Cricetulus griseus: one gene and its partner. Each later gene encodes a partner of the first gene's protein in a complex. Links are inferred from orthologs where the notes say so. Each region holds a gene or a part of one and is shown in the gene's direction. Other genes may lie near its edges.

Region 1 (3,679 bases):
GGTCTTGATTTATACATATGTGGCAGTGTGCCGAATATGAGTGATAACATTAAGAAATTGCATGCCTTTACAGGTATTTTCACATGCTAAGAAACTCCATGATATTGTGCCGCACATGTCATGTTTTTCAAGTGGCTTGCCCTTCCCGACCTAGGCTGTTATTTAACAGGGCAGCTGAGACTGCTACACAGCCCTTCCCTAACTGAAGGAGGCGGTGCAGCCTGTCCTGTCTGCATTTGAGTCCTGTTTACAGTATTGACTGGCTGCTCCAACTTGTGCAAGTTGCTTGGCTAGAAGTAGCTCAGTTTCCCTACCTGTGAAATGGATGTGGTAATACCTACGTCTAAAATACAGCTGTTAAGACTAAATACTATATATAAAAACATTGCATTATATCATTATGCCATGTTAACTGTTGATATTAGTACTGAATAACTATTCTTTCAAGTGCTGGTATCAATATAGCTGTGGGCTCCGTTTTTAATTGTCCCAGACTTTACCGAGTTTACCCCTTAGTGAAATGGGACCATCCTCCCCTGATGTCATCCAGAGCGTGGATGGACTGTGGTTTCAGATTCCAGGAAGCCCTGGCTGTTGCATCCTCCAGGTGCAGTGTCAAAAGCCAGACCATGCTGGGACGAGCTAGTGTTGTGTGGTCGCGAGGTCGGTGTCTTTAGCTGCCCCTCAGTGCTTCTTTTGAGTTCTGGCGGACCTGGAGTCTCGTGGTCCGGCAGCTTGCGGGTCGGAGTCCACCGGCGGGAGTGCCCAGAGGGCGCGTGGCGTCCCGGAAGCCCCGCCCGGAGGAAGGCTCAGTGCCGCTCTGCTTTGTGCTACAGAGGGCAGGCGGGGCCTGCGGCGGCGGCGGCGCGGGTGCGAGCGCGAGCGAGCCCAGAGAGGCCGCAGGACGCGGGCCGAGAGAGGCCGCAGGAGGCGGCGAGCAGCGGAAGGCGCGTCCGGAGGAGGGTGGCCATGGTCCAGCCCTGAAGGTAGGAGCTGCGTGCTCCCCAGCCCCGATCCCGGATCCCCAGCCCCGGGCCACTACGGGCTGCCGGCCCACGTGCTCAGATCCCTGAACCGAGACGGCAAAGCCAAGCCGTTTCTTTTAAAGTGACCGTTCAGAGTGCCCTTTGCTTGGGTTTCCCCCTCTTTTAGCCTCCAGCGGCAGGGTGAGTGGCCTGGGGAAGTCTTGAGAAAAGGGCATCAGGAAATGCTTACGCCTCCCTCATCAGACCGCCCCGTCTCCTTCCTCTTTAATTCTCTGAGGCGTGGGCCTCCTGGAAACCCCAGGCTCCGAGGAGCCCCCGGGAATCCCCTGGGTTGAATTTGTTTCCCGGCAGGCATTTCTTTTCCTAGCTCAGAGTTAACAGTTGTGGCTATAAAGGAATGGAGTCTACCCTCCAGTGGCAAGTATGCTGAACGTCTGCTTTTGGTCCATCCACTTGGAGAATTACAAAAATGAAGTCAGATCTTGGGGATCAAACCCCGGTGTCCGTGCGTGGTAGCAAGTGCCTTTCCCCACTGAGCCATCTTGCCAGCCCCTTTGATTTTCAGAGTAACATATGCTGGAGCGTTGCCCTCTTGGTGTAAGGCCTGCTAGGTTTAAGAACATTTATTTAGTTGTATGTGCTGTTAAGAAGGACGTTAACAATTGATTCACATTTTTATTTAGTCTTTGCTTGCTTCTAAAAGAAACATACTTTTTTGAAGAGTGAATATAGGGAATGGAGCTAGACTTCAAAGGCAAACAGCAAATGGATGGAAACTAATTAAGGGAGATAAAAGGCTTTTACCTGTAGTTAAAGTAGTTGTGTAACTCAGACCTTTAGTGTTCAAGTAAAATAACACAAAGACCTAGTAATGGGCCTTCCTGGGGAAACCCCACCTCTATTGTAGATGTATATTAAGAAGTTACAATCATTTGATTTCTACATAATCTTATTCATGCTCTTGATTTTAACATCAGTGGAGTTAGTTTCAGGCTTTTGTGAGTTACACAGTCACGAATGAAAGAAATATGTACATACCATTTACCATACACATAGAGCTGTTCTTTTTGTATTTTCCTTTGGTTTTAATGAGCAGCGCCAAAAGTGGGAGGAGACAGAGCAGGTAAGATTCAGTATTGAGAATTTGAGCCATTGTTTGCCACAATGAGTATATTATAGACAATGAGAACTTTGGAAGGGCTCGGTTGGCACAAATGACTACTTAAAGAGGCTTTGTGCAGATGTTTCCCCTCCTTCCCTTTGTGTGTGTCTGGGGTGGGGGGGTTGGGGGTAGGGCTGTGCCAGGATTGGACAGGGCAGCACTCATTGTGGGTAAATGCTCTACCACAGAGCTGTAACCCCAGGGCAACACTTTAGTGTTGTCTGTTTGTAGTGCTGGGGGTAGAACCCAGGGCTCTTCACTTGCTGGGAAAATGTTGTTCCACTTAACTACACCACATTCCTAGCCCTTTGTATTGTTTCTCTTTTGAGGCAGTCTTCTATGCAGATCAACCTGGCCTTGGAGTTATGTTTTCTCCTGCCTCTGTCTCCTTCAATGCTAGGATTACAGGTGTGTGCCACCAAGCCTGGCAGCATCTTATTTTGTCTTTAGGGCAAGAATCAGAGTGTGTATGTGTGTGCTCATGTTTGTACTTACCATGATGTTCATATGAAGGTCAAAGGACAACTTGTGTGATTCCATTCTCTTCTTCCACCATGTGGGCCTCAGGGATTGAACTCATGTTGTCAGGCTTAACAGCTGGTACCTTTCAACACCAAGCCATCTTGACTTTCCTGATTCCAGAGTTTTGAAACTACCCATGTAAATGCCTCTCTTGGTAGCACTGAGAAGAAAGAGCACAGTGAATGAAAAGGTATCCATTGGAATACTACCAGACATAGTTAAGTCTTCAGTAGTTTGAGAGAAGAGTTGTGGGTGGTAAGATTAAAATTGGCCACATGAGACTCAATTTCTTTTTTTTTTTTTTTTTTTTTTTTTTTTTTGGTTTTTTGAGACAAGGTTTCTCTGTAGCTTTGGAGGCTGTCCTGGAACTAGCTCTTGTAGACCAGACTCACCTGCCTCTGCCTCCCGAGTGCTGGGATTAAAGGCGTGCCCCACCAACACCCGGTGAGACTCAATTTCTTGATGGCAGGAATAGAAGCTGTGACAGGCAGGCAACAAAGCATTGTGAGGTTCACCTCCAAGAAGGCGGATCCCAGTTGTGTTCATTTGTAGTTTCAAGCCTCCCTAAGTTAGCAGCAACCCGAACTCTTCTTGATAGCCATCAGAGAAGGGCACTCAAGCATCTCACTCAGGTGGGCCTCACATTCAGAAGGCTTCCTCCCTAACCTGGCCGGCCTTCTGCCTGATTGCTGCTTGTTGCTGCCAGATCTGCTTCCAGGATAAAGAGCTCACTTTTCAGTGTGGTGTTATATACCTTCTTGGCTGGGGCCAACGTGGTTTTCTTTTCATCTCCTCTCCCAAACTCCTGTAAGCTCCTGGGAATAGTTCTCTAGATCTCCCCACCTTGCTGGTTTCTTTACATCACTTTCTGTGCAGACACACATTACCTCTGTGTTTCCACAGCACCCCACAAATCCTTATTTCTGGAAAGGGAGGAACCCTGCCAGAGACAATTTTCTGCCTCTCTTATCAAGGTAGGTTTTCTTTATATGGCTGTGTTGTTTGCACG
Region 2 (3,146 bases), on another chromosome or scaffold:
TTGTTGACTGTGACGAAGCCCTTCCAGCAGACTTGCCTCTGCCTGACTGGTGGTGGTGTTTGCTACGTAGTTATATAACAACATAGCTCGTGTTTCCTGGCCTTCCTGGAGTATGGACTGTACCCAGACATGGAGACCAGGAGGCCTGGCTTCCTTTGTAGGCTCTGCCACTCACACTGATACAGGGGCTCCTTCCTGCTTCATTAGTGAAGTGACAGGGCTGGCAGTGATGTGGGAGCACCGGTGGGAAGGGGTAGGAGAAGTGGGCACCTGGCTGGGGTTGTCTCGGGTGGCTCATTGGGAGACTGCCTCTCTTACTTGACCTCAGTCTTCCTTCGCTGAAGACACTGTTGTGACTCACTTGTGGGGCAGCGGTGAAGATGGAGTTGTCATCACATCTGTAAGAGCAAAGAGGTCTGAGGTCTGAGGTCTGAGGGTGAGAGGATGCTCACCTCCACTGTCTATCGTGAGGTCATCACATCTGTAAAGGCAAAGGGAGGGTCTGAAGGTGAGAGGATCCTCACTTCCACTGTCCTTTTGATCTCTATCTTAGTTTCTCTTTCTTGAGGTTTGGCTAAGGGGACATTGCTGACATTGGTTGGCTGGGATTGGTGGTAGCCTGCAGTGACTAGAGCATCCAGATCTTGACCTCCTGCACTCTGGGCTGTGGGATCAGGGGAGTCAGCACTGAGCCAGTGTGTATTGTGTCTCCGCAGAAGGAGGGGGAGTTCACCTTGCATGGCCGGGCCATCTTGGAGATGGAGCAGTTCATCCGAGAGACCTACCCGGATGCTGTGAAGATATGCAACATCTGCCACGGCCTCCTCATCCAGGTACTGATGATACAGTGGGAGCAGGATCCTGATGCTCAGCCCACTGGGCCTCACTGTTGTTGCCCCCCAGGATCAGGCACCTTCTGGACAGACATCCTGCTGGTGCATCCCTAGTTCTCCTCCTGGCCATTCAGTTCCTAGCCCAAGGTGCTGATGGGTGTTGGGTGATAACTTTTCAGTAGAAAGGGTCCCTGGAACTAGAGTTACAGTTGGTTGAAAGCCATCTAGTATGGATGCTGGGTACCAAACATGGGTTCTCTGCAAGAGCTGAACATGTTCCTAACCACTGAGCATCTCTCTCTCCAACAGCTTTATCACAACACAGACACAAAACTTCGGTTTACTGGTTGTAATGGCTATTCTTGGTTGCCAACTTGACTATATCTGGAATTAATTAAAACCCAAGTAGCTTAAGTCTTGGTAGCTCTATGATAAATGTCTCTCTGTCCCTACCATTCTGCTTCTTACTTGAACTTTGCAGGCTGGGTGCCATGTTTGCTTCTTTTTATCTTGGGCAACCAGGCTCTATGCTGAGTTTCTGTGTGAGTATCCACAGATGTCTGTGATCTTTCTATGGTCAGATTCTTGGAGGTAGAGTCTGTGGCTTACCCCATGCTTGTGTGGATCCTAAGCACGTGATACATGTTGCCACTGGCCTACTGCAAAGCTCTATGTCTATACCTCCCACTGGGGAATCTCTAAGCAGTGAGCCTGAGTCTGGAGCTACAGAAGCTTGGTGGGGGGTGCGGTTTTCAGCTTCTCCCACCTATGTACACTTGTTCCTGTAGTGCAGGCCCTACAGTAGAGCTTGGGGTTGTTACCAGCATTAAGTTGGAGTCTGGAAGTTCAAACACTACAACCTGCTAGCCATTTTCTTGCAGCTTTCTGAATGTTTGTGAAGTTGAGGGATGTCCTGGCTCCATGGTCATCAGCCTTTCTTGTTTCAGGGTCAAAGCTGTGAGACATGTGGTATTAGGATGCATTTGCCTTGTGTGGCCAAGTACTTCCAGTCCACCTCTGAACCACGCTGTCCTCACTGTAATGATTTCTGGCCCCACGACATTCCAGGTACACGGCCTCCAGAATGCCCATAGGATGGGGTGGCCTTGTGATGGGCTGTCTGTGAGACCTCAGTTCTTAGGCTGTGTATCAAGAGCACCTTGGGAGGGAAGGCTGAGGAGGACTCTGAGCATGAAGGTCAGTGTTGGTGTCCTGATGAAGCACAGGCAAAAGCTACCTGCCTGCCTTTGTCTAAAGGGCCTAGAATCCACTAGAAACCTCAAGGCTTGTGAGAGTCCCACACAAGGCTTTTCTCCTAGCCATCCAGGAAGAGGGATGGGAAAGCCACTTCTCAGCTCCCTCATTGAACTTTGCTGCCTGGCTCACGTGCTGGGGGAGGAGGGTTACAGACAGGACAGGTCCTCTGCATGGGGGGATAGCTATAGACATCAGCTGTGTTCTGTGGAATCAGTCCATTCATCATGATGTTCACTGTGTCTCCCTGCTGTTCTATACACAGAAGTCTTCGACCCTGAGAAGGAGAGGGAGGCTGGCATCTCCAAGTCGAGCAGAAAGTCCTTGCGGACCCGTCAGCATTAGCTGTGTCCTGCATGGCTCTGGCTGTTGGTGGGCTGACCCTCATGGCCCATTTAGACCAGGGGCCTGGCCATCCACATGGCACATGAACTGCCTCCCTTGTTGATATTTGCTGTTAACATATTTTTAGTAAATGTTTCCTGATGGTTGCTGTGCTCTGCAAACTAGAGCTTGTGTGGGGCTGGGTTCCCCATGGTGAGGTGAGTGAACTCAGTGGCAGCACTGGGTCAGAGCCACTGTCAGCCCTGGCCAGGTGTCTCTGTGTCTGGTTCTGGGCAGTTTTGTTTTCGCTGTGGTTTTGTTCCATTACCTTGGCCTTGGTGTCTACGGCTATAGTAGGACCACTGTGGCCTCAAGTCAGTAGCCCCCGAAGGCTGAGCTGGACTAGATTTGTGCTGTTCCCATGGGACCTTTTGTCCCCCATCCACCCACCAGTTATTTCAGAAGGTAACCTGAGAGTCAGTCTAGCCTTCTTGTCCCTGGCATCAACCTTGTGTTTTCCTCAAATCCTGCCCAGCCCTTGCATCTATATCACACTGTCCTCAAATCCTGTCCAGCCCTTGCATCTATATCACACTGTCCTCAAATCCTGTCCAGCCCTTGCTCTTTGGCCCAACAGCTACTGTCCAAACAAGAACCCACCCCTTATCCTCATCCTGCTCTGCCCCTGGCTCCATCCCCTTTGGACATGCCACACCCTGCTGAGACCCTGTTTTG

Evidence for each region. Proteins that work in one complex are often made in the same cells at the same time.
Region 2: Eid3 (region 1) and Nsmce1 share a complex: the UniProt entries of both Homo sapiens proteins name them as parts of the SMC5-SMC6 complex. The link is inferred for Cricetulus griseus from reciprocal best matches to the Homo sapiens genes EID3 and NSMCE1.

What each region holds. Positions count from the first base shown.
Region 1 is NW_023276806.1:152,476,470-152,480,148, reverse strand, and holds the start of Eid3 (EP300-interacting inhibitor of differentiation 3), read left to right. Parts: upstream 1-860; 5' UTR 861-986; intron 987-3,573; exon of another isoform or gene 3,574-3,644; intron 3,645-3,679. UniProt on the Homo sapiens protein: Tissue-specific component of the SMC5-SMC6 complex, a complex involved in repair of DNA double-strand breaks by homologous recombination.
Region 2 is NC_048596.1:75,351,172-75,354,317, forward strand, and holds the end of Nsmce1 (non-structural maintenance of chromosomes element 1 homolog), read left to right. Parts: intron 1-716; coding exon 717-833; intron 834-1,780; coding exon 1,781-1,901; intron 1,902-2,352; coding exon 2,353-2,432; 3' UTR 2,433-2,593; downstream 2,594-3,146. UniProt on the Homo sapiens protein: RING-type zinc finger-containing E3 ubiquitin ligase that assembles with melanoma antigen protein (MAGE) to catalyze the direct transfer of ubiquitin from E2 ubiquitin-conjugating enzyme to a specific substrate.